7 linked regions of the Macaca fascicularis genome follow. The protein of the gene in region 2 interacts with the protein of the main gene of each other region in a biochemical or structural test. Links are inferred from orthologs where the notes say so. Each region holds a gene or a part of one and is shown on either strand. Other genes may lie near its edges.

What was found.
Region 1: the proteins of NHERF2 (region 2) and SLC9A3 form a complex in vitro, tested with the Homo sapiens proteins (2 studies listed by BioGRID and IntAct, with this or other methods). The link is inferred for Macaca fascicularis from reciprocal best matches to the Homo sapiens genes NHERF2 and SLC9A3.
Region 3: the proteins of NHERF2 (region 2) and SLC26A3 form a complex in vitro, tested with the Homo sapiens proteins (2 studies listed by BioGRID and IntAct, with this or other methods). The link is inferred for Macaca fascicularis from reciprocal best matches to the Homo sapiens genes NHERF2 and SLC26A3.
Region 4: the proteins of NHERF2 (region 2) and KCNJ1 form a complex in vitro, tested with the Homo sapiens proteins (2 studies listed by BioGRID and IntAct, with this or other methods). The link is inferred for Macaca fascicularis from reciprocal best matches to the Homo sapiens genes NHERF2 and KCNJ1.
Region 5: the proteins of NHERF2 (region 2) and YAP1 form a complex in vitro, tested with the Homo sapiens proteins (2 studies listed by IntAct, with this or other methods). The link is inferred for Macaca fascicularis from reciprocal best matches to the Homo sapiens genes NHERF2 and YAP1.
Region 6: the proteins of NHERF2 (region 2) and PODXL form a complex in vitro, tested with the Homo sapiens proteins (3 studies listed by BioGRID and IntAct, with this or other methods). The link is inferred for Macaca fascicularis from reciprocal best matches to the Homo sapiens genes NHERF2 and PODXL.
Region 7: the proteins of NHERF2 (region 2) and ABCC4 form a complex in vitro, tested with the Homo sapiens proteins (2 studies listed by BioGRID and IntAct, with this or other methods). The link is inferred for Macaca fascicularis from reciprocal best matches to the Homo sapiens genes NHERF2 and ABCC4.

Annotation. Positions count from the first base shown.
Region 1 is NC_088380.1:827,707-831,934, reverse strand, and holds the start of SLC9A3 (sodium/hydrogen exchanger 3), read left to right. Parts: upstream 1-1,428; 5' UTR 1,429-1,555; coding exon 1,556-1,766; intron 1,767-3,925; exon of another isoform or gene 3,926-4,066; intron 4,067-4,212; exon of another isoform or gene 4,213-4,228. UniProt on the Homo sapiens protein: Plasma membrane Na(+)/H(+) antiporter. Exchanges intracellular H(+) ions for extracellular Na(+) in 1:1 stoichiometry, playing a key role in salt and fluid absorption and pH homeostasis.
Region 2 is NC_088394.1:2,793,428-2,797,646, reverse strand, and holds the start of NHERF2 (Na(+)/H(+) exchange regulatory cofactor NHE-RF2), read right to left. Parts: upstream 2,801-4,219; 5' UTR 2,693-2,800; coding exon 2,480-2,692; intron 1-2,479.
Region 3 is NC_088377.1:149,306,514-149,310,013, forward strand, and holds part of SLC26A3 (chloride anion exchanger), read right to left. Parts: intron 3,244-3,500; coding exon 3,010-3,243; intron 1,176-3,009; coding exon 1,121-1,175; intron 1-1,120. UniProt on the Homo sapiens protein: Mediates chloride-bicarbonate exchange with a chloride bicarbonate stoichiometry of 2:1 in the intestinal epithelia. Plays a role in the chloride and bicarbonate homeostasis during sperm epididymal maturation and capacitation.
Region 4 is NC_088388.1:127,421,323-127,425,598, forward strand, and holds the start of KCNJ1 (ATP-sensitive inward rectifier potassium channel 1), read right to left. Parts: upstream 2,801-4,276; 5' UTR 2,282-2,800; intron 1,388-2,281; 5' UTR 1,343-1,387; coding exon 1,220-1,342; intron 1-1,219. UniProt on the Homo sapiens protein: Inward rectifier potassium channels are characterized by a greater tendency to allow potassium to flow into the cell rather than out of it.
Region 5 is NC_088388.1:101,212,132-101,215,631, reverse strand, and holds part of YAP1 (transcriptional coactivator YAP1), read right to left. Parts: intron 345-3,500; coding exon 151-344; intron 1-150. UniProt on the Homo sapiens protein: Transcriptional regulator with dual roles as a coactivator and corepressor. Critical downstream regulatory target in the Hippo signaling pathway, crucial for organ size control and tumor suppression by restricting proliferation and promoting apoptosis.
Region 6 is NC_088377.1:173,085,944-173,089,871, forward strand, and holds the start of PODXL (podocalyxin), read right to left. Parts: upstream 2,801-3,928; 5' UTR 2,702-2,800; coding exon of another isoform or gene 2,659-2,701; coding exon 1,831-2,658; intron 1-1,830. UniProt on the Homo sapiens protein: Involved in the regulation of both adhesion and cell morphology and cancer progression. Functions as an anti-adhesive molecule that maintains an open filtration pathway between neighboring foot processes in the podocyte by charge repulsion.
Region 7 is NC_088391.1:86,141,775-86,145,274, forward strand, and holds part of ABCC4 (ATP-binding cassette sub-family C member 4), read right to left. Parts: intron 2,698-3,500; coding exon 2,448-2,697; intron 1-2,447. UniProt on the Homo sapiens protein: ATP-dependent transporter of the ATP-binding cassette (ABC) family that actively extrudes physiological compounds and xenobiotics from cells.

The sequences.
Region 1 (4,228 bases), on a different chromosome or scaffold from region 2:
CTCCATCCGCACCCACCTACCGCCCACCTGCCCTCCGTCCACCTATCATCCATCCACTCAGCCACTATCTTGCGAGTGCTATTGTGTGCCCAGCTCTCTTCTAAGCTCAGGGGATGCATGCGTGAGCCCCTTGCTCGTGGAGCAGACATTCCCAGGGTGAGGGCAGACAGCTCAAGGTCAAAGCCAGCAGCCCCCAGGGCTGAGAGGTGAGCTGAGCCCCGGCTGAGTAAGCAGGGGATGCGGGAACTCAGCAGCCACAGTTGTGAGCTGAGTGGGTGGGGGGTGGGACAAGAAGGTGGCATTGGAGCCAAGCCCCTGGGGAGCCGAGGAAGGGAGCAGGCAAGAGCTGTCCAAGCAGAGGGAGCAGGGTGTGCAAAGGCCGATTGCTAGTGTGGGCTGTGGCGTGCATGGGGGTGGGTGTTAGGCAGTGGCTGGGGTCAGAGCTCCTGGGGGAAGTTGAGCCTTTCCTCTGAGAGGGAGGGTCCCAATAGGAGGGACTGAAGGGGCAGGCAAAGGGCCCAGCAGGAGGCTTTGCAAGTGGCTGCAGGCAGGCTCTGAGAAGCTGCTGGTTTTGTGCGAATTTTGAAGGTAGAGCACATATGCTAAGAGCTTGGAAACCCCTGGTGAGCGAAAGAAGTCCGCGTGCCTCCCAGGTCTGGGGCTGGAAGGCTGCAGGGTGGGCTTGGAGGAAAACAGGGGTGTGGTTTGCATAGTGGAGTCTGAGATGCTTAAGGGAGCCAGTGCTGCCAGAGTGGGCTGTGGGCAGAGGCCCCGCATCAGTGTGAAGCCCTGGGGGTATCGAAGTGTTTTGGGTGGAGGTCAGAAGGCAGGGGCCGGGGCGTGGAGGCCACAGAGCCTGGGGTGGGGGATGCGGCCGGCGAGGGGAGGGGCAGAGAGACTTCCCAGCGCACCACGCCAGGTCTGGGCGTCCCCGGTTTCTGGTAAGTGGCCGGTCCGGCTGCGGAATGCAGGTTCCTGCTGAAGACACAGCGAGACGTGAGGCCCGGGGGCCCCGTGCACCCTCGGGCCGCCCTGTGAGGTCTGCGCAGCCCCAGGGCCCGCGTTTATGAAGGATTGGGGCGAGCGCACCCGCAGCTGCCCGGGCACCCCACGAGCTGAGCGGACGCCGAGAAGCGCGGGGAACCGCCTGTCCCGCCGCCCCGCGCTGTGCTCCCCTCGCCCCCAGCCCCAGGGAGGCGGTCGCGCAGTCCCGGGCTCGCTCTTGCCGCGACCTCCCGGACCTCCAGGCCGCAGGCTCCGGGGAAGGGTGGGGACTGGGGAGCGCCGGGTGGGCGTGCGCGGGCGGGGCGGGCGTGCCGGGAGCTGCTGCGGTGTCCGCGCTCGCGAGTGCGCGGCGGGGGCGGGCAGGCTCCGCCCCGGGGCGGGAGGGGGCCGCGGGATTAAAGGCCACCCCGGCGGGCGGGGATCGGACTGTCGCAGGCACCGGCACCGGAGCGCGCCGGGTCTTCGCCGGGTCCCAGCCCCGCGCGACGGCCGAGCCCAGCCGGGACCCCCCGCGACATGCGCGTCCCAGCCCCGCACTAAGCAGGCGGCGATGTGGGGACTCGGGTCCCGGGGCCCCGGCCGGGGACTGCTGCTGGCGCTGGCGCTGGGAGGGCTGGCGCGGGCCGGGGGCGTGGAGGTGGAGCCCGGCGACGCGCACGGCGAGAGCGGGGGCTTCCAGGTGGTCACCTTCAAGTGGGCCCACGTGCAGGATCCCTACGTCATCGCGCTCTGGATCCTCGTGGCCAGCGTGGCCAAGATCGGTAGGTGGCCCCGGGGTCTCCGGGTCTGCCCGCGGGGTCTGCGGCCGCCTCTGCCGGGTCTGGGGGCTTCGTTGTGGCCGCGCCCATCAGGTCGGAGCCGGGCGGCCGCGGCTCGGGAGAGTCTGGCTCTCCGGTCCAGCAGAGCGAGACTCGGGAGCGACTCTGGCCGCGCTAAGCCGCCCCTGCGGGTCCCGAGGGTCTCCCCTACCCGGCGGGGGCACAGCCTCGGAGCCCCTGGCTCGCGGCTCCCGGGTCCCTGTGGGGTCTCCGTCCGGCCTCCGCTCCGAGCCCCGCAGACTGTAGGCTGCTCGCGCCCGAGGAGTCCCTGGGGCCGGGTTTCCTTGGGGGTACTCAATCTTTTTAGAGAAACGTCCTTGGAGTGATGGCGCTTTTTCGTGCGTTACAAGGGCAGAAAGGAAAAGCGGTGCCACCCGCATGAAACCCAGCAGAATCCTCCCTACCGGCGCAGCGTTCCCATTGGCGGGCCTCCTTTTTTTTTTTTTTTTTGGAAAATCCCGGTCGGTCAGATTTCTCTTCTCCTTAACTTGCGCCAATGAACCAGTAATGTGGGCACGGCAGGTAGCTCCTGGCAAGGTGACAGGAAGGTCAGCTTCCTGAGGAGCTCGTGGGGATCAAAGTTTCATGTGTTGGCCCACAGGGGAGGGTCTCTCCAGGGGTGGCGGAGAGGTGGTCACTTGTGTAGAGGGGGGATTAGGGGACACGAGTGGGGCCAGGAGAAGCAAGATCAGAGCAGCAGGCGCCGCCGCAGGTTTCCAGAGCGGCTTTGGACTGGGGCGGGGTGGGCAGGGGGCGGCGGTTTGGATGCTGGGGCCGAGGAGGGGCGCCCACGCAGGACAGGGGAAGGACAGGCTTCGGGGAGAACAGCTGAGAGAACCTTGGCCTTGGTGGAACCTGGTACGCCCAGCAGGCTTGATTGGAGAAGGTGCCTTTTCCTTCAGTGACGCCTGCCGCCTGCCCTATTTATGCCAGGGTCTCCCCTCCCCTCCAGGCCCCTTGAGTGTTTGCTTTCTGTCTCGTAAGTGCTCTTCTGAGCCCTCCCGCGCCCTCCCTTCTCTGCAGCCTCCTCGCTTCTCTGCAGCCTCCTCCCTTCTCTGCAGCCTCCTCCCTTCTCTGCAGCCTCCTCCCTTCTCTGCAGCCTCCTCCCTTCTCTGCAGCCTCCTCCCTTCTCTGCAGCCTCCTCGCTTCTCTGCAGCCTCCTCCCTTCTCACCCCGGTGTCTTTCAGCTCCCGGCCTGGGCTGCCTGCTCTCCGGGCTCACGCTGGCCTCGCTGTGCTTTCCACTGGGGGCTTGCGATGCTGGCCGTGGGGGAGTCTCTGAGGCTGGCTGCCTCCTACAGGTGATTTCCTTGAGAAGGTCCCCTGGGGCATCAGGGAGGTCCAGCCTCAACCTGGGCTCTGCGGTCGCCCAGTCCTAAAGCTCACCCTGCTTTCCTCTGACGGGCGTGTCCCGCTGGTGTAAACTGAATAGGTAATTTCTTTTATTTCTTTTCTTTTTTGAGACGGGGTTTCATTCTTGTTGCCCAGGCTGGAGTGCAATGACGCGATCTCGGCTCACTGCAGCCTCCACCTCCTGCCACAGCCTCTCTGGGATTACAGGCATGTGCCACCAAGCCCGGCTAATTTGTATTTTTAGTAGAGACAGGGTTTCTCCATGTTGGTCAGGCTGGTCTTGAACTCCAGACCTCAGGTGATCCACCCGCCTCGGCCTCCCAAAGTGCTGGGATGACAGGCGTGAGCCACCACGCCTGGTCCTGAATATGTAATTTCTGTACAAGCTGGGGCCTCTCCCAGTTCAGCCCCGTGTACAGAGTCAGAATCTGGCATCTGAAGGTCCGAAGACAGCCACCAGGCACCAGCCAGCCCCGCCTGGGAGCCCGCAGGGAGGGCACACTGACCGGGGCTTTGCCTGGCCTCAGAGTTTGTTATTCACCAGGAAAAGCCTTCGGGTCTCCCAGACACTTGGACTGGTTCTGGAAAGACGTCCTTGAGGGCAAGGAGCTGCCGGCTCCAGCAGCAAGTCCCGGGGGCAGGGCGGTCCCAGAATGCATCTCCTGGGGAGCTGGCCCTTTACGAAGGCCCACCCTGATAGCACCGAGTGAGCGGCTGTCTTTGTCCCGGGGTTGTTGGCCCCACCTGGGAAGGCAAGAGCCTCGCCCCGCGCAGCTGTGAGAGCTCATCGAAGCATCCCACCGGCACAGACCTCTCCAGACCTTCCCTCTACACTCGCTGTCATCCCCTCAACCCACTGTCCACGCTGCAGCCCCGGCAGTGACAGCTGAGGTCTGCCCTGGGTCTGCCCTGATTGGCCCCCAGGCTGTCCCACCCTCCATCCCCTCTCTGCCAGCCACACCTCTTGAATGCAGCCCCTGGCCCTCCCTGTGTGCTTCCTCCCCCAACCCCTCCCCTGTGAACTCTGGACTTCTCAGATTCTGCTGGCCCAGA
Region 2 (4,219 bases):
GGTCCAGGCTGTGAGGGCTTCAGGGTCCTCCCAGAGCCTTGCCCTTAGCCCAGGGTCTTCTCCAGGCAGGGCTGGGAAGGGGCTGCAGGGTAGGGCAGCTGGGTAAGTCCCGTCTGGAAGTAACAAAGACGGCGCACAGTGGAGCTTCAGCTTTTCAGTCTGCCTGTTAGTGTGTGCACGTGCATCCATCTGTTTCAAAGTCTGTGTCTGCGTCCAGGTTTGAAGGAGAGGGGTGTCTCCCTGGGCCCCAGTTTGGGTGTGTCTGTGCCCATTCCTGTCATTCTCTGCCATGGGAGTCTAAACCCCTGACCCCAGGCCTTATGTCCACCTCCAGGCCATGACCATGGGCCCATTCCCACTGGACCTGTGAGGAGGGGAATGGCTGGACTCCTGGCTCGGGTACGCACACACAGCCAGGGAAGCAACATTCAGGTACAGCCGGCAAGGGGGAGGGGCAGTGAACAGCTATGGCATGGTGGCTGTCGGCGTGTGGGTACAGGTGCCTGTGAAGTGTCTGGACCATGCAGGGGGCCGGCGTGCACCCGCAGAGAGAAAGCAGTGTCCATTGGGAAGCGGGCGGGAAGACGGGCAGCCCTACTCCCACCTGCGGCCTGGGGGAGGGTGGACAGGGCTCCCCACCAGCCACCGGGCTCAGCAGGGGTGGTGAATAGATAGGAGGGACTGAGCCAGGCCCATCTGTCCCCTGGCCCTCCTCTCTCCCCATGACCCAGAGTGAGACAAGAGGAACCGAGTGCCCAGCTGCTTCTTGACTATGTGTCCCAAACAAGTCACCCTAAATCTCTGGCATCAGTTTCCTCAACTGTCAAATGGGGCAGTAACTGCACCTCTTGCCCTCCTGGGGCAGTGGGGAGAGTCCACCATGGTCTGTGTGTCCAGTCCTCAGAGACCAGCACCCCAGGGCCTTGGATAAGCAGGTGTTCCCTGGGCAAGGGCGGCAACGACTATCAAACAGCAGCCAGGCCCCAGCCCTGCCAGCCCTACCCTCAATCCCTCAGGTCCAGGCCACTGGCCTGATCCCCACCTTCTTTTTTTTTTTTTTTTTTTTTTTTTTGAGGCGGAGTCTCGCTCTGTCGCCCAGGTTGGAGTGCAGTGGCGCGATCTCGGCTCACTGCAAGCTCCGCCTCCCAGGTTCCCGTTCCCGCCATTCTCCTGCCTCAGCCTCCCGAGTAGCTGGGACTACAGGTGCCGCCACCACGCCCGGCTAATTTTTTTGTATTTTTAGTGGAGACGGGGTTTCATTGTGTTAGCCAGGATGGTCTCGATCTCCTGACCTCGTGATCCGCCCGTCTCGGCCTCCCAAAGTGCTGGGATCACAGGCTTGAGCCACCGCGCCCGGCCCTGATCCCCACCTTCTTCAGCAAACAACCTTACACAGCAGACACTGGGTGGAAAGCATGAGGCTGGCCGACGGAGGGACAGACAAGGCACCAGGTGAACAGGAGACCAACTGCAGGCCCAGCTGAACCAACTGCTAATCTTGGGGTTCCAGGACCAGCCATGCAGACAGGTTATGGATTCGCCAGTGCTGTGAGGGACAGGGGACCTGGAGGACAAGGGGTGTGTGGACACTGGACCCCCACCAGGGTGTGGTGGAAGTCCCTGGCCTGTGGGAGACAGACATACCTCAGGGGTCAGAACCCACAGAGAAAAGGCTCTGTTCTCCTTAGCCAGGAGGCAGGAGGCTTTAGCAAGTAACCCCAGCCGGGCTAAGCAGCCTCTGAGGAGGGGTAGTGCCTTTGGAGCTAAGGAATGTGGTTGCCACCAATGGCCAACTCAACCCGGTCCCAGGCATACCGGCTGGGACACACTAGAGTACAGACACAGACTTACCAGCCTGCAGACACACAGTGATGAGTACACTAACCAGGTGTGCACACACACAGAGCTCAGCTCTCACATGCCCAGGAGTCCAGACCTGTACACACACACACACACACACACACACACGCACGCAGACCTGTATACTCACACACACTCCAGCACACACACAACTGCAGACACACTGATGCCCTTACTGCAACCCCTCCTGGGTACACACAGGCAGGCGCGTGCACACTTGGCTGACCCCAGAGGGACCTGCACACACACGCCCAGCTGTGTTCACACGCACACGTGTACACACAACTACGCAAAAGCACCCAGGTCTCCACCTTTCTGGAGGGGCCCCAGGCTGCCCAACACCCTCCTTCATAGCACACTGAGGCCAAAACGCGACCAAAGAGCGAGGCCAACGGCCAGGAGCCGCAGTGCGGGCCCCTCCCTGCCAGGATGCCCCCCCACCCCTGTGCAGGGCTGAGCTTCCTGCGCGGGGACTCGGAAGGCGCCGGGCTGCTGCCTCCCAGCAATGTCCGCGTCCTCTCCGCGGAAGCCCCCTCAGGCCCCCGTGCGACCCCCGCCCGCCCCAGAGGGACGCGCTCAGGGAGGGGGCGGCGGGCCGGGGGCGAGCGCGGGCCCCCACCTGGTGGTGCGTCTCGCCCTCCACGTTGACGCCGTTGACCTCGACCAGGCGGTCCCCAGCGCGCAGCGCCGCGGCCTCGGCGGGGGAACCGGGTTCCACGCGCCGGATGAACTGCCCGCGGCGGCCCTTCTCGCCGTGCAGGTGGAAGCCGTAGCCCTGCTCTCCGCGCACCAGGCGGCACAGGCGCGGCCGCAGCGGCTCCGGAGCGGCCATGGCGCCCGCTGCCCACCAGCCGCCCGCGGGCAGGGGCGCGGGGCAGCTCGGGGGCGGCGGCGGCGCTGGGCACCCGGCGGTGGCTTCGGCGGCTCCCGTTCGGCTCCCGTCGCCTCGGGCTCCGGCTCGGGCTCCAGCTCGGGCTGCGGCACCGCCCCCGCGCCCGCCCCTTCCCCGCCCCCGCCCCCGCCGCCCGGCCGCCCCCACCTCCGGTCCCAGCCATCCCGGCCTCCGTGGCCGGTCATCCCGATTGGGGGTGGGGGAAGGCGGCAGGACTAGGGGACCCCCCAGCCACCAGGACCCCTCTGTCTCACTCCTGCTCTGGGCAGCCGCCTTGGTGACAGCGCCTTTGCCTTCTATCCCAGGAACATTTATTGGATACCTACTGTATGTGCAGCATCCAGGCAGGTCTTGAGGTGGGCGACGGGTTGGACAAAAGGGACCCCCCCAAAGGGGCCAAAGGGTAACAACAAGGGCCACAGCCCCCCCCCACCCTCCCGGGGAAGCCCTCCCAGACCCCCGTGCCTATCTCCTCTCCGCTGTGCCTGATCTGGATCCCTCCTGCAGCCAGAACTGCCCTGGCCCAGGGGTCTCAGGAGGGCCCAGGAGGCAAAAAGAGGTTTAAACGTGACACGCAGCTGTCCCTCCCTGCATCCTGGGGGCCAGTGGCTTGAGACTCCCTGGCCTACCCTCCGTGTTTGGGCTATCTGCACAGCGTCCATTCCCGCCATTCTTTCCCTTGGCCGGGCCGGCACCCCTACTTGTGTCCCAGCCCACCCCAGGCCTGGACTGTGACTCTGCAGGGTAACGAAAGGATGAGTCTCGACATGGGCCTCCACTGACTTCTTTGGGCTCTAAGCTCTGGGTGGTGGCCAGTGTGCACAGGCGTTGCTCCACAGTGTCCGCAGGCAGGCAGCAGGCCTCCTCTCCCCTGCCCACAGCCGTCTACGTCCCTGAGCCTCTACGTGAAGCACGAGTGTCCCTCCTTCCCCAACAGGACAGTCGCCACCACAGTGAAATCGTTTATGCTTGAGCGCATTTTACTTGGAACAACCCTAGGGGCTTGGCCACTTCACAGACCTGCAAACAGGCCTGGAGAGGGACCCACAAAGCTTCCTCAGCTCCCTTTGGGCCCAGGGATGTGAGATTCGGAGTCCATGCTCTTCACCACCCAGCTCTTCCTCTGTCTCCAATATAGGAAGACAGCTGAGTCCAGGCACAGCCCCAGTCTGCCCTCCTCCCCAGCCCAGCCAGGCCCCCCGCACATACCTGGTTCCCAGGGGTCAGGCACAGCCAGCCCAGGCAATTCCCCATGTGAGCAGTAGAAGCAGGCTTGGCGCAGTCCTCCTCTCCCTATCCTCTCTCTGGGGCCTTGGCCTGGGCTCCCCTGCCCCCACCCAAGCACAGGGCCCGCCTCTGGGCAGTCTCCTGGGCCATGGCCCCCTGGGTGCCCATATCCCGGCAGCTGCCCCTAAAAGCCACTTAGGCTGAGGCGCCATGGCTGCTTGCCACCCCCACCCCTGCAAT
Region 3 (3,500 bases), on a different chromosome or scaffold from region 2:
GTCGGAAAACTGCCTGAAGAAGCTTTCTTCAGAAAATAGGATGGGAGAGCATTATAGGGATGGACAAGGATATTAGTTAGAAAGTCCTTCTAGAAGGCCTAGTTGAGAAATGAGAAGGGTCTAGATTAAAGTTCTGGAAATGGATAGGAAGAGACTGATTTAAGAGGAAATATTTATAGGACCTGGTGACTCACTGACTAGAGGGAAGGAGAGGAGAAATTGGTGATGGTTTCAGGGTTTCTATCTGGAAAACTAGGTAAGCAGTGATGCAGTGATTGTGATAGGAAAGAAGTATTTTTGGGAGGGGGAATCATATACGTAGTTTATTAAAAATATGTATTTGAGGTGCCTGGGGGATATCCGGACAGTCGAGTCCATTGGTCTGCAGCTCAGAAGAAAGGTCTGGGCTGGAGGTATAGTTTGGGGATTCATTAACAAGTAGATATACATGAAATAATAAACATGTAGGAAATTGACTAGAAAGAGTCTGTGGAATTAGAACCATGGTATCGAGTGTAAGTTTGAAGCTTGGGGAAGACTGAAAGAGTGGGAGTTGAACCAATGTCTGACCCTGAGGAGATGTTTGAGAGGTAGGAGGTGAATCAGAAATGTCTTGCCAGAGTCAGGAAGGGAGAGAGTTTCAAAGACAAATGCTAGAGAGAGCGCCTGATGCTTAAGTACGCTGCTGCAGAGGGACCTGAGACGAAGGCAGTTAATCCTGACAATCTGGACATTGCTGATAACCTTGGCAAGGATGGTCTCATCAGCAGGTGAAGCTAAACCAAATTATTATGGGCTGGAGAGTGCAAGGGAAGGGAGGAAGAGAGACAGAAAACAAGGCTACTTTTTCAGGAAATTTAGAGTAAAAAATAGTTAATATATTCCTCCTTTGTTGCCTATGAAATCAGGATTCAAATTGTAGAATTTATTTAATTACATATCAACACAACTAAAATGCAAAGATGCTGTTTCCATAGGGATTTTTATTGGGTTGGCTGCAAATTAGATTTTCATCTTGTTTATATAAAATACTCATTCTTTGGAGAGGCTGTCTAGATTGAGAGTTGGCATTGAGCCTGAAGTGATTGTCAGAACATAAAGCAAAAATAAAGCCACTTACCATCAACTCCAACAATATACACATCTACCTTGATCCTGATAAATTCTTGCAAAATCTGTTAAAAAGAAAGTATATCTTCCTTAGGGAACAGTTTCACTTGTCAGAAATATAAAGAAAACAATCAGAATTATACCTTACGGGTGATGTATTGCTTTCAGAAGCTTTAACATTTTGAAAAGAGATAATAGTGTCAAAAGATACTAAAGTTAAAACCAAGGCTCTATGACAGAAATAAACCCAAATAAAGGAGCCCTTCTCCTCAGTAAGAAGTTAAAAATGATCATTCTTGAAGGGAGTATTATGGGAAAATGTTCTGTCTCAAACTCATAAGAACAACTCTGATTTAATTTTAAAATAGTGTATTCTTTGGGATGATCTCAACTAGAGCTTTCTTGCTGCATAAAAGTTTAAAAAAAGAACCTACGGACCATGAGTTGCTAATTATTCTTGTCCACAATGAATGGATATATCTAGCACCAATGAATCTTTATACATTTTTCTGGTCTCTAGGCTAAGAACAAATACCAGTAGTGATATGAGTAAGATCATGGAAGGTAAGAAAAGTAGCTTATATTGTTGATCAGGTTAGATGATCATTAATATCATTAATATCATTGCCGTCATTAGTAAACACTTTCAGAACCTCTTCTAGGCACTTAACTAAGAATTAGAGCCCTTGTCCTTTGTGTTATACTGCTAGAACCAAAAAATAAATACGTGTGTGTGTGTGTATGTGGGTGGGTGGGTGTGTGTGTGAAAATGCAGAAACAGTAAGCTAAAGTAATCAAAAGCTAAAATAAGCAAAAACTGAAACCAAAAAAAGAAAAGAAAACGCAAGTAGACTTAAGAGTTACATGATGTTAACATTAAAAAAAAATTCTTTCATTTTCTAATTTTGTATCCAGTTCACATGTATCCAGTTCATGCTTAATAGGTCTTATCTTAGGTCAGCTTTCACTTGGGTAGATTTTTGTGAAAACCCAAGAAAAAGAGAAAGATGTAGAAATTCTTAAATTTTCTTTTTATATGTTTCTGCATTTCTGTTAGAAACTAATTTATTTTAGAAATGTGATAAATCTGTGGAAAGAAAACAGGCTGCAATCTGATTGTCAGTCGTGTTTTGAAATCACATGTGACATTTATTCTTTCATATATCTATTTGGGTTTTAGCCATGTGAAAATCAGCTTATGGTGAATGAGGATAAAACAAAAGGATCCACTCTTACATTTTTTCCCAGGACCTTTCCAGATCTTCTCTGATTTCAGAATAATTTAGATACTATGCCCACAAAGATTTGAAAACACCACAGAATTGAAATTTGAAAGGAATGTGAGCACAGTTGTCCACCAGCAGATTCATCATACATTATTATTATAGATTTGATTCCCTTCAATATAGTACCCAGTCTCATGGAAAATGCCCTTCTCAAGAGTCCACTGAACACCACCTTTCCCTCCATGGAATACTCTAAGATTATAATTTGCTTCTAATTAAATGCATGTTACCTAAAGGAGCATCCTTCCACAAATACAATTATTATTATTATTTTTTGAGACAGAGTCTCCCTCTGTTGCTGGAGTGCAGTGGTGCAATTTTGGCTTACTGCAATTTCCACCTCCCAGGTTCAAGCCATTCTCCTGCCTCAGCCTCCCAAGTAGCTGGGATTACAGGTGCATGCCACCACGCCCAGCTGTATTTCTAGTAGAGACGGGGCTTCACCATGTTGGCCAAGCTGATCTCAAACTCCTGACCTCAGGTGATCCACCCACCTCAGCCTCCCAAAGTGCTGGGATTACAGGCATGAGCCACTATGCCCAGCCCACAAATACAATTTTTTTTTCACCTTCAGTCATTGATTGGTTGTTTCCATTAAGAACAAAGAAATTACCGATTTAAGGCCCCTCATTGAAGAAACATCAAGAAAGGACACTGCTGAAAAGTCGAGAATGAGGCTGTGGAGGCTGATTTTGGGGACCTCAATGTTGAGAGGAAGCTGATCATTCCAGTCAATCTGGAAGGGCAGGTCTGTGGTATCGATTGGCTTGTCCAGTACTTGTATCTGATTGTTGTCCAGCTCTTCGTCGGAATCTTTTATGGTGTCAACAGTACATATAAATCCTTTCTGCAGGAGAGGATAACAAGCGTAAAAACTGTGACCAAGAAAAATATTGTGTATGTCAGAGATAGTCAGTGAGTTTCAGAAGCACTGATTCAGAGTTGAGCCAAACAATGGAATTGGACTACATGTGGTGGCTAATGCCTGTAATCCCAGCACTTTAGGAAACCGAGGTGGGAGGATCACTTGAGCCCAGGAGTTTGAGACCAGCAAGGGCAACATGGTGAGACCCCATCTCTGCAAAAAATTAAAAAATTAGCCAG
Region 4 (4,276 bases), on a different chromosome or scaffold from region 2:
GGATGTAGAGTGTGTCTGTGTCGGAAGAACCCGATCCAGCAGCTGCGCTCGCTGACCTCACACAGCCACAGCCGCGGGTGTAGGCGGCAGAGCTCAGCACAAGACCCACAGGTTCTGGTTACTATGACATGGACATCCTGCCCAGCAGAGAAATTCCAGAGTGAGGAGGCATTACCCTCACTCCTGGCAGAGGCAGACCTGCCTTAGAAGAAGGAGAATCCAGTAAAGGCGTGTTAAGAATGAAATCAGCGGCTGCTAGTTAGTGCTTTTGTTTCTACTGTGGGCGCCATTGTCCAAGCAGACCTTCAGAGAGCGACGGGGCACTCTTGGTGATGCTGCCAGAACAGCAGGTGCTACCTGGGACGCATGGACACCTTATCTCCTTGGAGCAATCGGGGACCTTTGGGGGCAAGTATTGTGGTTAGAAAAAGTCTAACCACAATAAGAGGAGCAGCTGTTAGATGAATAGGGAGCATGCTGGAGGGGAGCAGGAGGGAGAGGGAGAACACAGCCCTGGTTGGCGGGAAGTGACTCGAGCTGCTGGGCAGCCTGTGCACAGTGGGCCACACAGCAGGAAATCATGAATTCCTTCCCTGGTGCAGATCAGGCTGGTGTGGATCTGGCTCCAGCCAGGGCCAGTTTTCTCAGGGCTTGATCCCCCCGGGGGCTCAGAACAACCTGGTCACACCCAGAGGGCTCAGGAGGAACAACCTCCCCAGCAGCAGTGGCTGCACTCAGAGCCTTTGGAATCAGACAAAACCTAGTCCACAGCTTAGTAACCGTGGCCTGAAGCAAGCTACTGAATCACTCTGCTTCTGTGACCTGTAAAATGAGGCGACTAAACCAGACTTCATAGATCTGTTTGAGGATTAAATGATACAATGCACGAAAAACACTCAGCACAAAGATGGCACATAACAGGGACTCCATGCCCGAACTTTTATTACTGTTTGCTCCCCTGTTCTCATGCCCACAAGGCTCTGCCACCTCATCCTGCTCACTGGGCACCTTCCTCACCAGGGCCTTCCTGACCCTTCCTCACCAGCCCCAGACACGCCAAATTCAGAACTGCACCTTGGCCTCTCTCTCTCACTCTCTATTGCACTTTTTTTTTTTTTTTTTTTTTTTTTTTTGCCTGTGTACTCCCCACCAGACCGGGAACTCCTTTTGGACAGAGAATGCATCAAGGGTCCTCAATCTAATTGCCTGTTGGACTCACCTGGGGCCAGATTCTGGGACTAGGCATCAGCACGTTGTCCAGCTCCCAGCTGATGGCAGCGTGTGTCCAGGGCAGAGAGGTTGTGCCACTCAGGTGTGCACTGAGGACCAGCCGCATCAACATCACTGCAGCTCCTTAGCAAAACCGCGGACTCTGGAAACTCCAGACCTAGAGAATCAGAACCTGCATTTTAGCCAGATCCCCAGGAATGGAAAGCACAGGAATGCCAGCGAAGTGTCCCCAGAGCTCGACATAATTCAAACACCCAGTGGGTGTTGAGCGGGGGTTCACTGATTGACTAATTGACTGAATGAGTGAAGCCCTGTGTCAGTTTCCACTGGGACTTCACACCTACTCCCTCATGTGCTATGAAACAAACAGGCTCCAAAAGTAAACCCGTAAAACATTCAGGAATTCAAAAATAGACACAGACCTAAGTTGATAGAACAAATAGCTGCAAAATGGTGAGGTTTTTGAATGAAATACCTGAAGGAATTTTAAAGATTTATTACCACCAGGCTCTGCGCCATTAAACCTCTTCTACTACACTTGAAGATAATTTTGTTTTGTTTTAAGATTAGTAATTGTGAAAACCTGGGAAACCAGGACTGGCCCCTGGGAGGATCCTGTCCACCTGTGTGGTTTGGGCACAGCCTCCAGGTGGCTGGGGCCGCTGGAAGGAAGACAGACTCGCTGGTGGGGAGTCCCCGGCACTGCCAAAGGCCTCCCCACGCCCGTTCCCTGGGGACAGGACCTCTGTCTCCCCTCCGCAGGCTCTTCCTGGCTCTCACCCTCCCAGCCTGCATCCCCCAGCCCCACCTCCTCCGCCGCCGCGGAGTTGCAGCTGACTAGGGGGCCGAACCCAGGCGGCGAGCATCGCCTTATCCAGCCCCAGTGGGGGCTTCGTCCCCCGCGGAGTGTGTCACACTCCGAGGCCAGGCTAGAGGTTGCGGCGCTCAGGACTCCCGGTTCCCGCCGCCCTCAGGCTCCCCAGTCCCAGCCTCCCTCCCCATCTCTCCCAGGCTCCCTTCCCCAGTCTCAGCCCCCATCTCCGGTCCCAACCTCCTCTGCTTCTCTCCCAGGATCCGGCCAGGAGATCGACGGGTGGCGGGAGGGGCGCTCTGGCGACCCTGGAAGCGAGAAGCAGGCCTCTGCAGGGCCAGGGATGAAGGTGCAAGGGAAACTCCTGGGACCTGGACCTTAGTCGTGGGAGGGACGAAAAGGAAAGTTCTTAGACAATTCTTCAGGCTTGGCTTCTGGGGGGCGGGGCGGGGGGAGGAAAGGGGCACGGGTTCCCAGTCCCACCGGCGCTGCAGCCGAGCGGGGCCTCCAGGCATGCGCTCATCGAGGGCAGCTGAGGCGGAAGCCGGAGGGCCTGCAGCGCTAGCTGTGCGACTCCGGGCGAGGTTTTTAAACTCTCTCCTGTTTTCCGCTTTTGTAAACTGAAGATAACGTCTCTCTCCTGGGAGTGGGAGCACGATGCAGACACTCCGTAGGAATTCGGGACTTCTTGATTCTCCTTCCTTATCCTTGAGTTGTTTGAAGCACTCCGGCCCCTCAGCCCCACGCCTTTTCCCAGCCCTGCCCCCTGGTGGAAAATCGTAGGAACTACCTCTCAGGAGGGCTCCCGTAAGCCAGGCACTGTACACACACTTTTCATTTCATCTTCGCAGCAGCTCTTCTTGGTGAGTACTGTTATCCCCATTTTGCAAATAAAGCAACGGAGGCTTAGAGAAGTAACTTTTCCAAATGTGCCTCAGCTCCAGGCAAAATAGGAACCTAGGTCATCTGATGCCAGAGTCAGCCTTCCTCACTGTTTATGATCCGGCTTCCCTTTCTGTACCGAATTTTCTATTTCTGCCATAACAGATGACCACAGGCATAATGGCTGGAAACAGCACCCATTTATTAGCTCACAGTTCTGTAGGTCAGAAGTCCAGGCTCGATGCGACTGTGTTCTCTGCTCTGTTCTCACAAGGCCAAAACCAGGGTGTCAGCGAGGCCTGCATTCTCATGTGGAACTCAGGGCCCCCTTCAAGCTCCTGTGGTTCTGGCAGAATTCAGGTCTTTGTGGTTGTAGGACTGAAGTCCTCATTTTTTCGCTAGCTCTCAGCTGGGGGCTGCTCTCAGCTCCCAGAGGTCACCCACATTCCTTGCTCTGTGGCCCCCTCCATCTTTAAAACCAGCAAAAGAAAAAAAACCTCCTTCTGTCTAATTCCTCTAATAATTTGAATCTCCTACTTCAGGAAAAGCCCAATCCCTTCAAAGGGCTTATGACTGGGTCAAGCTCATCCCCGACGAACTTTCTTTCTTCAAGTCAGCTCTGCCATATGACATGCCCCAGTCATGGGAGTGAGGATTTCCTGGGGTTCCTCAGGGGGTGTATACAAGGGGGCAGGAATCACCAGGGTGTCTTGGAATTCTGCCTACTTATAAGTGCCTTCCCTGTCACCAGCATGTATTCTGGTGTTACATTCAAGTGTAACACCTTGAACGCTTCCTGCTAACCCTAAAGGGCCTTGAGGGGAGAGGGGCAGCCTATTCACCAACCAGTTTGGAGCATTTTCCTATGAGTGCAGTCATATATATTCCCATAGAAGAGTATACAAATATCTCCATATGAGACATAAGCACACCCTCCTCCATTCCTCTTCCTCCAACCTCATCCCATGTTTCAAAGCTCAGGGAATGTACATTTTGATCCAGCATATCTGAGAGAGAAAGTAGGAAATTGATAGAGATGTTTGTGATCACAGATAGGGAGACTGAGTCTGAAAAATCACTCCCAGCCCAGTGATCTCTCCAGGAAGCCCTGCTGACCCCCAAGCAAGGCTCTTCTCAAGTTGCTGTGGCCCCGACTCCTGACATTCCAGACCACGCCGTGATCTCTCCAGGAAAACCACCAAGTTTTCCTCCCTATGGGTGTGTGATGTTTGACCTTCTTAATCCAGAGGTCCATCTAAATGGATGTCAGATTCACTAATGCATCATCTGAAATACAACTTCCTTTGATTTTGCCTCTTTTGAGTCTTTCTCCACTTGTGTTTTCCTATCAAA
Region 5 (3,500 bases), on a different chromosome or scaffold from region 2:
GAAACTAAGACAAGGACAGGGCTGGATAGAATGCTTCTGTGTCGCTCAGTTTTACAAAGACAACATTCCTCTGTAACTAATAAATGTTAAAATGCAATCTGCCCAACTTTAAGAAAACAAACCCCAAAAAGTGGAAGGCTGGTTTCTAACCTGTGGCCTCACCTGCCGAAGCAGTTCTTGTTGTTTCAGCCGCAGTCTCTCCTTCTCCATCTGGAGCTGCTGCAGTCGCATCTGTTGCTGCTGGTTGGAGCTGCTGCCACCCATGACGCCTCCCTGTGGGCTCTGGGGAGCCAGGGGTGGTGGTTGTTTCACTGGAGCACTCTGACTGATTCTCTGGTTCATGGCTGAAATGAAAAGAAAAAAAAAATCTGTCCTAAAAAACTAGCGAAGGAAGAGAAAATGATAATTTAATTATTCAAAAGCAATTTGGGATATTCAATGTAGCTTTTCTGGGCAAGAAGACTGGAAATAACCTAAAAATCCATCAATATTACAATGACTACATTAATTTATTATTACTGTTGTCACAAGATACAAGGAAGTCATAAGAGAAAAGAAACAAGAGGTAGTTTTAACAGGCAATGATGATAAGGAATAGTTTCTAAGGACTTACTAAATTAAAAGCAAGGTAAAGTGTTAAAAAAAGAGGGGAGGGAGTGGGAGTGAATATATATTGCATATTCAGAGAATATAAAAATTGATGAATAGCTAAGAAGCAACTAACATCTTTTGGTTCCAGAGATGAGAAACTAGCTGACTAAAGGACAAAGCTGGAGAACCTTATTTATAACTTCTGAAGTGTGAATGATGTAAATTCATTACTTCTTATGAAATATAAAAATGTAATTAAAAATTCATCCACAAAAACTAAGACAAAGCATTCCAAGCAGCAAAGCCCATGAAAATAATCAGCCCTTAATATATCCACATACACATCCCAATAAAGCAAGTAGATTAAAATGATATGATGCTTGCTCATATCAAGTTGAGTTCACAAGTATTTGGATGACACAGATTTGTCTCATTTGACACCATGGCACACACAGCACAAAGCCTAGATAGCAAAAAAAAAAATTTTTTTTTTGAAGCTGTAATACACTATTTGGTGGTCAGAAATGGACTGGGTTTTCATACTGGTGAATTTCTGTCACTGATACAACACTGATCAAACTGTGGATTAACCCCAGTGGGCAGAGGGAAGTTTTATGTGAAAATGTTAGTAAAAATAATAAACCTTTTCAGATACATATTCGACTTAAGTTGAAATTTTGGGTCACTCTTTCTACTAAATGTTTAGTACACATTGACTAAAGAAAACCCCAGGTCCCAATGGCTTTGTAGTCATTCAAGGAAGAAATAACACCAATCTTACACAATCTCTTCCAGAGCATAACAAGGATGGAATATTTTCCAACACTTATAAGGCCAGCATAACCTTGATACCATACAAGGATATTAAAAGAAAGGAAAATTACAGGCCAATCTCTCATATAAACCTTGCTACAAAAATCCTAAATAACATACACTGACAGCTCTTATAACTTAATGGTCTCCCAGTCACACAGCAAACTCCTCGTGATTTTTAATGTGTCCCATTATAACAGACTGCCTGCTTGGTAAATGCCATTTCTTCTTGGAGACTACTTGAGGAAAAACCTCACAAAGCTGAGTCCATCCTATACATTAAAAATTTTCTTCTCTCAAGGAATTGCCTGGGAACGTTTCCATATTGTCTACTGACGTTTCCTGCCTGATTCTAATTTTTTGTTTACAAATTTATATGCTCCCTCAGACTGAGTGCCAGAGTATGGGCCATATCCTAGTCATCTATGTGTCCTCAATACCTAGCACAGCATCTGGTACGAAGTGCGTGCTGAAAAAATACTGAGCCAGAAACTATTTAAGACAATAGAGAAGTCCTACTATTAATTTCTCTTTAGATTACCACACTTTTTTTTTTTTTTCCTTTTCTGTCTTACTATGTTGCCCGGGCTGGTCTCAAACACCTGGCTTCAAACAATCCTACTGTCTGTCTCTCAAGTAGCTGAGACTGCAGGCAAGCACCATACCTGGCTCAGGACTGCCCAATTCTTCTATCAGGCTAGCATAGTACTGAGACAGAACCAAGGATATTACAGAGAGGAAAATTACAGACCAGTCTCTCTCAGAATAATGCCTTGGTTCAATCCAATCTTCTCAGCTAGTTAAGATGACTGCATTATTCACTTAGTTCCCTTTTTTCTGCTCTTATTTTTTTCCCTCCAGCTTTTCTGTATTTCATTTTCTAACTTTTAAGTTGAACTTAATTCATTTCAATCTTTTTTTGGAAGACTTAAGTCAATTAATTTACCCTTAAGTCCTGCTTTACCTGCATCCCACATGTTTTGAAATAGTATAATTCATGACTGTTCTATTCCAAAAACGTGTAATTTCTATGGTGACTTACATTTAAGTTATGAGCTATTTAGGAATATATTTTTGTGTTTCCAAACATATATTTTACATTTTGAAGGTAATTTCCATAAACACAGAAAAGTAGAAAAATTAATACAGATAATGAATCCTTGTATACTCATCACTCGCGTTCTTCCCAATTGTCAAAATCTGGCCAATCTTTTTTTACCTCTATCCTCAACTACTTTTCAGCGCCAATTATGTTCAAGTGAACAATATAGCATTTTACCCATAATTTCAACATATATTTCTAAAAAGATGGGGCCTTCTTTAAAAAAGAAAAATATAATTACAATACCATGATTACACTATCAAAATTTACCAATTCCTTAAAATTATCAAAAGTCCATCCCATGCCTACACTTCCCTATTATCAAGGGAATTATTATTATTTTTACAATTGGCTTGTTCAAAACAGAATCCAAACAAGATCCATACATTGTATTTGATTCATAATCCAAGACTTCTTTAATAACATGGTTCTGCGGTTTCTGGATCATCAGGAGGAAGAGCACCTAGCAACGTTTTAGAAATGCAAATTCATGGGCCCTGACCCAGGGCTAATGAATGAGAAACTATGGGATGAAGCCAGCAATCTGTGTTTTGACAAGCCCTCCCAGTGACTTTTGATTCATGCCAGCACTCTGAGGACCACTGTTTTATTTTATTTTATTTTTTTTTATTTTTTTTTTTTTTGAGACGGAGTCTCGCTCTGTCGCCCAGGCTGGAGTGCAGTGGCGTGATCTCGGCTCACTGCAAGCTCCGCCTCCCAGGTTCACGCCATTCTCCTGCCTCAGCCTCCCGAGTAGCTGGGACTACAGGCGCCCACAACCGCGCCCGGCTAATTTTTTTTTGTATTTTTAGTAGAGACGGGGTTTCACCGTGGTCTCGATCTCCTGACCTTGTGATCCGCCCGCCTCGGCCTCCCAAAGTGCTGGGATTACAGGCGTGAGCCACCGCGCCTGGCCACCACTGTTTTAATACACAGGTTCCCCCTTTGTTTTTTCTGTCATTTATTTGTCAAAGAAACTGTGTCATTTGCCTCA
Region 6 (3,928 bases), on a different chromosome or scaffold from region 2:
TGCTGGTTATAGCAGGCACTGGGTTATGGTCATTTTTGTTTGCCACATACCAAGCTTCTGCCATGTGCCATGCCCCGTGCTAGGCTAGAAGTGGTGCTTCATGGAAGAGACACGGTTTCTGGCAGTGCCCAGGTGCCAGGAAAGACAGTCCCATCCATCCTTGAAGCCAGCAGTGAGCTAGAGTCAGAGCTTTGCCCACTGGTGGCTTAGGAACATTTCCTTTTAGGGCAGAACAGGGAGGGTCTTGTCCCACAGCGCCTCCCACTCCTCAAAGTGAGGGTGGCTCAGCCACCTTAAGCTCAGAAGCACTAGGGACTAACCCCTCTTTCCTGACACAGCCCAACGCCCTTCTGGGTGGTTCTAAGAGGCTTCCCAACAAAAGGTTCATATGAAGGCCCACCCTGAAGTCCAGCTGTCCCCAGAGAGTAGGGCTGAGGAGTGCCACCACACTCTGGTGTCATCTCAACCCTGCATGTCATGTGGCTCTTCAGTGATTGCCACCTTGAAAGCTGTTTTGACTGTTCCTCACACTGCAGCCCCTCTTCCGGGGACACACATTCTGCCCCGCCAGGACATTCCCTTTCTAGTCAGGCTGGTGGAGTCTCCCGCCGGCCACAGGAGGATGCCCACACCTGCCTGCTCCCTGAGTGCCAGCCCCTGCCCACTACCAAAGGTTTCCTGCGGTGTAGAGGAGAGACTGTACTGCCCTCCCATCTCCCCCCGCCCCTTGGAGTCCACTCCCAAACTGCCAGCACCTGCTCGCGGCAGAGTCCCTTCCCTGTCTGTGCTGTCCCCGCAGTCCTCCTGCCCTAGGGTGATCACACCACCTCCCCTCTTTCTCCCTGCAGACACGTGCTCAGGTGGGCAAGAGAGAATGAGAAATACGCTTCTCCCATGGTCCTGATCCGACTCCGGATGTTCCTAGGGGCTTAGGAACACCTGCTCTGGTTGAGTTTGCAGCCATCGCCTGTTCCCCCAAAGAGAATGAGTAACATTTCACCTTGAAAAGAAACAAGGAGGGAATGTTCTGAGGTACAGCTCTGTTCCTTGAGAGACAGGTACGGTTTCTAAGGTGTGTCTAAAATGCAGCTCAATCCTATTCTACGAGAGAGAAGTTCCCGTTTCAACAACAGGATTCGAGGGGGTCTCACCATCGTAGCCACGCACTAAGAAGTGACTGGTTTGGGGACACGGAGGTAGGACCCCCACTCAGCCAGGTGACTCTGGGACTATGGAAGGTCCACTTCCACAGTCTCTGTACCTGCCCCAGCACGGGCTCGGGGGGTTGAGCCTGCACACATTGCTTGGAAAACCCTCTCTGCAAACGGGTAAGCACATTGCCCGCGTGGACAGTGGCTGGAGGCTTGTCACCTGCTTCAGGGACTTCCTCGGGAGCTTCTCGCCTGCCTCTTTGCCTGGAATTAACGAATACACAATATAGCCCCACATTCCCTCCAACACGAAGGAAAGGTGTAATCAGATCCCAAGGGTCCCGCAGAAGCGTCGAGCCTCGCGGTGCTGTCTCCCTTTTCTTTCCCAAGCAAACCCACTTAGCACCGGCGCGCCCCTGTCTGCCCGGGCAGAATCCACTGCCCACTCCTCCCGAGTGGAGACTGGAGACGAATCCACGCTCGGGCCCTGCACCTGCCGCGTAGTGGAGTTTGGAGGGGGCGTGGATGGTGCAAGGTCAGGGCTTCGTGTGTGACCCCGGCGGCGACAGGGCTGCTCCGGGTCAGACCACGCGGCGCGTCGGGCTTCCCTGCAACCTGGCCGGGTAGGGGGCACACGCGCACGGTGGGGCATCCGGCGGAGCCCGGGCCGGCCACTCACCATCCTGGGAGGCCAGCAGCGGCGACACCAGCAGCAGCAGCAGCGCCGAGAGCGCCAGCGCGCAGCGCATCGTGTCCTCGCCTCTGGGCCGGGAGCAGGTGGCTGCGGGGCCGGCAGAGGGTCCGCGCGTCCGGACGGTAGGAGAGTGGGCGCCGCTCGGGGAGGCCTGTGGGTGGCTCCGGCGACCGGGCTGTGGCCCGGGGCTCCCGGGTCGCGCTGCGCCGGCTCTTCCTCCCTGCTGCTGCCGCAGAGCGGGGCTGGGGCGCAGAGCCAGCAGCGGAGGAGCGGCGGCGGCGGCTGCGTCCTGGGCGGCGTCTGCGCGGCTGCGGCCCCACTGGCGGCTGCGGCTACTCCTGGCCCGTCCCGTCCGCGCCGGCCCCCGCCCCCGCCCCCGCCCCTCCCCCTCCCCCGCCCCCGCCCCTCCCCCTCCCCCTCCCCCTCCCCCATGTGCCCGCCCACGGCGGCGGCGGCCGGGCAGGGCGGGGCCGGGGCTGGGCGGGCGCTGGGCCGTGAACAATGAGCAGAGGAGGAAACTCCGCCCTGGAGCGCGGCGGGCGGGAGGGCGGGCAGCCTCCGCGCCTTGGGGGGCTTTGAGTGTGTGCGCGCGGGCCGGGGCCGGGGGCTTCTGCGGGGCAGCTGGGCCCCGCCCACAGGTGTCCCCCCGAGTGCTTCTGAGTGGGCTTGGCGGGAACCCCCAGCACACAGCAGGGGCCCTCGCACTACGAGCAAATCCGGAGCGGGCGGACCTCCAGCCTTGCGTGGTAGCTGATAACCATTCGCGGCCTCCCGGGCTGCGGCGCGTTCTGCAGCGACCCCGGAGAAGCTCATCTCCTACCTGCCAAGTGCAATTCACCTGCCGGCGGGCCCCCATCCCGCACGACTTCTGAGCGGGTCCTTGCAGCTGGGTGTGCACCGGGCAAGCTGGACTAATTCACTGCTTCACCTCTCCAAGGCTAGGTTCCTTACCTGTGAAATGGAGATGATGGTTAAAAAAACAACAGCAACAATTTCAGGGATGAATGTGTGCCAGGCTTTACGTATATTAATTCGTTTGCTCTTCATGACAACCATATTTTTAGCCTCATTTTGCAGACAGGGAAATTGAGTCAAAAAGAGGTTAAGAAACTTCCTGAGGTCACATAACAGGTAAGTGACAAACCTGCCTCTGAAAGTAGTTTGGAGAAATACCGTGCCTGGAATATAGTAATTGCTCTGCAAGGAGTGGTTGTTACTTTTATTCCTGCTATATAAAGAACAGTTACAAAGATTTAGAACTTTTGGGTCAAAACAGACTTGGACTCAAAACCTAACTGTGCCAATCTGTTAATTGTAAAACCCTAGGCAAGTTATTCTCAGTACCTCATTTCTTTTCATCTTTAGAATAGGGATAATAACACCTACCTCAGGGGGTTACTGGGAGACTTAAATGTGATCCTACAAGATAATACTTAGCCTAGGGCCAGGAACACGAAAGTCTCAATGAATGAAGTAGCTCGCGCTCCACGTGAGGATCAGAGATATTTGCATATTGCGGATGGGAGTGAGTTTTGGAGAATTCCGTAAACTGAGTTTATCTGGCGAAAGAACAAAGAAGTTCGTCTCCCCTCCCCCGCTCCCCTCCTTTTTACCCCTGAAAGCTGCTTGGGAGACGCAGACTCCAGGACCGCCTGAGGAGGAGGCACATCAGCGCGGCCGCGAAGCGGAGGGGGCGAGGGGTGGTTAACCTTGGAACCGGGGTATGGCGTGAATTTGGCTCACGTGACTCCGGAGCTGCTAATCTGGAGTCTCTCTGCCAGATGGGGCTGGGTGGAGGGGTTTTCCCCAGGATCTAGCCGCGTCCCGGGGACAGGGTACTTCGTGAGCCCCTGAAGTCGTTTGTAAGCAGGCGATGCCTGCAGGGCAGTGCGTCCCTGAAGCCGCGAAGGAAGCTCTGGAGCCCTGGATGAGGTTCCGTGGCAGCCGGCCTCAAGCTTAGGGGAAGGGCTGACGGGGCTGTTTTCATCAGGAAGTTTCTGCAGGATCGTCTGGCCCCGTTTTCCACACCGCATATGGGAAAGACAGAGGGTGTTCCCGATATGTGTGTGTGTGTGTGTGACTA
Region 7 (3,500 bases), on a different chromosome or scaffold from region 2:
CCAGGTGAGCTCTACACCTAGGGTTCAAAAATAGGACTCCACAGGAAACAGAGAACCTTTCAAGGTTTTTGGAGTAAGACTAGATGAGTAAAAGAACACTGAAGGAAATATCCCACACCAGAGGATACTAAGGCAGCAACATAGGTGATACAGTTTGGCTCTGTGTCCCCACCGAAATCTCAGCTTGAACTGCAATCCCCATAATCCTCACGTGTCAAGGGTGGGACCAGGTGGAGGTAACTGGATCATGGGGGCAGTTCCTCCATGCTGTTCTAGTGACAGTGAGTTCCCATGAGATCTGATGGTTTTATAAGCTCTGGCATTTCCCCTGCTTGCACTTCTCCTTCCTGCCACCCTGTGAAGAAAGTGCCTGCTTCCCCTTCCACCATGACTGTAAGTTTCCTGAGGTCTCACCACCTATGCTGAACTGTGAGTCAATTAAAACTCTTTCCTTTACAAATTGCCCAGTCTCAGGAAGTTCTTTATAGCAATATAAAAACAGACTAATACAACAGGCAACGTAATAATGGTTAAGAAATCATGGTTCTGAACAGATTCCCATCTCTAAGACAGGCAAACTCCTTAACCTATTATAGGAGCCAGTTTCATTCTCTGTAAAGTGGGGACACTAATGCTTATCTCCTTCAATTGTGAGGATAACATGAAATAACATGTAAAGGCTTCCAAGAGCCCTGGTTCACAGTACACACACCAGCGCCTGCAATCACAGTGAGGGGCAGCAACAGCAGTCAGAGAATTACAGCAGCACAATACACATGTGGCCCTTCCATCTGTAAAAGGTGTCCTGCACACTCAGAAAGACACTCTGGTCAAAGTATATTTCTAAGTTATTTCTTTCAAGATGCAAAAGCTGTAAGAAAAAAGTGTTACTGACCTGCATGGACCATCCCTTCACAGTGTTACCTGAAGCTGTTGTCAGAAAGAATGAGGATAAGAATTGACCTTGTATGGTCTGTTTTAGAGGTAATATTTTTTACGAAATACAAACTTGCTAATCAGTAGTGGGAGTCTGCCTATGAATAGCCACTATGCTCCAGCCTAGGTAACACAGCAAGATCTCTTCTTTAAAAAACAAAGTTCATCATAAAAAAGAATCTTAGCTTTTATGATAATACCCACCCCACTCTCTCCCCAACCAAAAAAATAAAAATAAAAAATAATCACAGCCAGTGTCAGCTAAGTTCACTCGAGTCTGTCCCTGGGCATCCATCTCTATTAAGAACCAGGAATAAAACAAAGCAGATTTTTGAAAAGCTTAGACAGTCAAGGTCTTGCCAGGCCCTCTCACAAAGCCAATTTATTTTAATTTTCAACTTATTCATAAACACACAAATACTTGTGCATACATTGTGTGCCAGGACCTTACCTTGGTGATATAAATTATTTGCCCCTGGCAATTTAGTGACAGCTACTGAGGAAAAGGTGATGGTGTGTAAAGTGGATGCTATGATTTGAATGGGCATGCCTACTCTAAATTCATAGGCTGGAACTTCACCCCAGGGTCAGTGTTAAGAGGTGGGGCCTCTAAGAGGTGATTAGGTCGCCACGGCAGAGCCCTCCTGATGGGGATTAGTGTCCTTACAGAAGGCTGGAGGGAACTAAACCAGTTTGTCCTTCTGTTTCTTCCACAATGTGAGGACACAGAGGTCCATCTGGGAAGCAGAGAATGGTCCTCACCAGACCAGACACCAATGCCAGAGCCTTAATCTTGGACTTCCCAGCCTCCGGAACTGTGAGAAATAAATGTCTAACATGTATAAATTAGCAAGTCTCAGGTATTTTGTTACAATAGTACAAACGGAGCAAGGCAGTAAGTAGAAATCAACCGATTGGAAAGAAAGAAGTCTGGTAGAGTTAGGTTCATCAACAGTAAGAAAAAAGTGAAAAGAGGATAGGAAAGAAACGGCAGAGATCCTAAAGGCATGCACAAAAATTAACAAGGAAAACATCTACAGAGGAAAGAACTTATTTTCAAACAGGGATAGCTAAGTGAAGTTGAGGCCATTCTTCCTGACCAAGAAGCAGGGACCTCAGCAAGCTCTTTGCTTCCAGCCCACAGAAGAACCATACTCAACCCATACTCGCTACTTTCTCACTTGCGTTAACGTAACAGATGAAATCTATTTGCTTTTCCTCCTTTTAGACAGCTTAAACATTTTAATCACACCTGCCGTTACCACCTGCACATCAAAAGCCCTGTGCCACTGCTGTTTAGGTTGCTGCCAATAAATGATCACAATGCTTGCATTGTCTTTAGTGCGCTCTATCTAAGATAAGGAAGTACACACAACATTGTGGAATGGCAGCACGTTTTGGTTATGAAAGAGTTAAATGTCATTACACTGGAACATAGTGATGCTAAATAAAAGGAGATATCATTTCACCTCGAATGCACCTACAACTTTAAAATGGCATCTGACACCAACCTGGATTCTTCGGATGCTGATGATTGCCTCTGACACCTTCTCAATGGCTGCGGGGAAGAAGAGGGTGACCGTCAGCCGCACAGCCCCATACAGTGTCACGGCCACGAATACGCGGCTGGCTGTGATCACGTTGCCGAGGAGCACGTAGGTGGTGAAAGTCACAAACACGATGATTTTGCTTGCACTGAAAAATGAGGCCAAATTCATCCCTCTGAGGTAGGAACTTCTCAGAATCTTGGAAATCTCCTTCCTGGAAGAGAGTACAGGTTTTTAAAAAAGCAGTGATGTCAGTCACACAAAGTGGCTCACGCCTGCAATCCCAGCATGTTGGGAGCTGAGGTGGATGAATTGTTTGAACCCAAGAGTTTGAGACCATCCTGGGCAATGACAACAACAAAAAGGTGCAAAGGTGAGAGGTGGCCAGGAACTACCCAGAAAATCATAAGAAGTACCAGGTGCTGGAATGCAACAACTAATCAAATATTTAATCCAAAGCCAGAAAAACATTTTTTTTTTTTTTTTGAGATGGAGTTTCACTCTTGTCGCCCAGGCAATGGTGCGATCTCAGCTCACTGCAACCTCCTCCTCCTGGTTCAAGTGATTCTCCTGCCTCAGCCTCCCAAGTAGTGGGATTACAGGCAAGCGCCACCACGCCTAGCAAATTTTTTGTATTTTTACTAGAGACAGGGTTTCACCATGTTGGCCAGGCTGGTCTCGAACTCCTGACCTCAGGTGATCCACCTGCCTCAGCCTCCCAAGGTTCTTGGATTACAGGCGTGAGCCACCATGCCCAGCTGCCCCCAAAAAATTCTAATAACACAAAGAACAACTAACAGTATTTCCATGCCTGTTTGGAATGAAAAATACTGATTGATAGAGTTTGGTCCAATATAGATATGCCCAGTCTCTATAACCTGTCCATTTGGCTACATTAATATAAATCATAGTTTTATTTTAAACACCATTATTCTCAAATACTAACATCTTAGAATCGTTGTTGGGATTTGGGATATTCAGAAACATTTGGAATTTCACTTCTGTATTAGTAAGAAG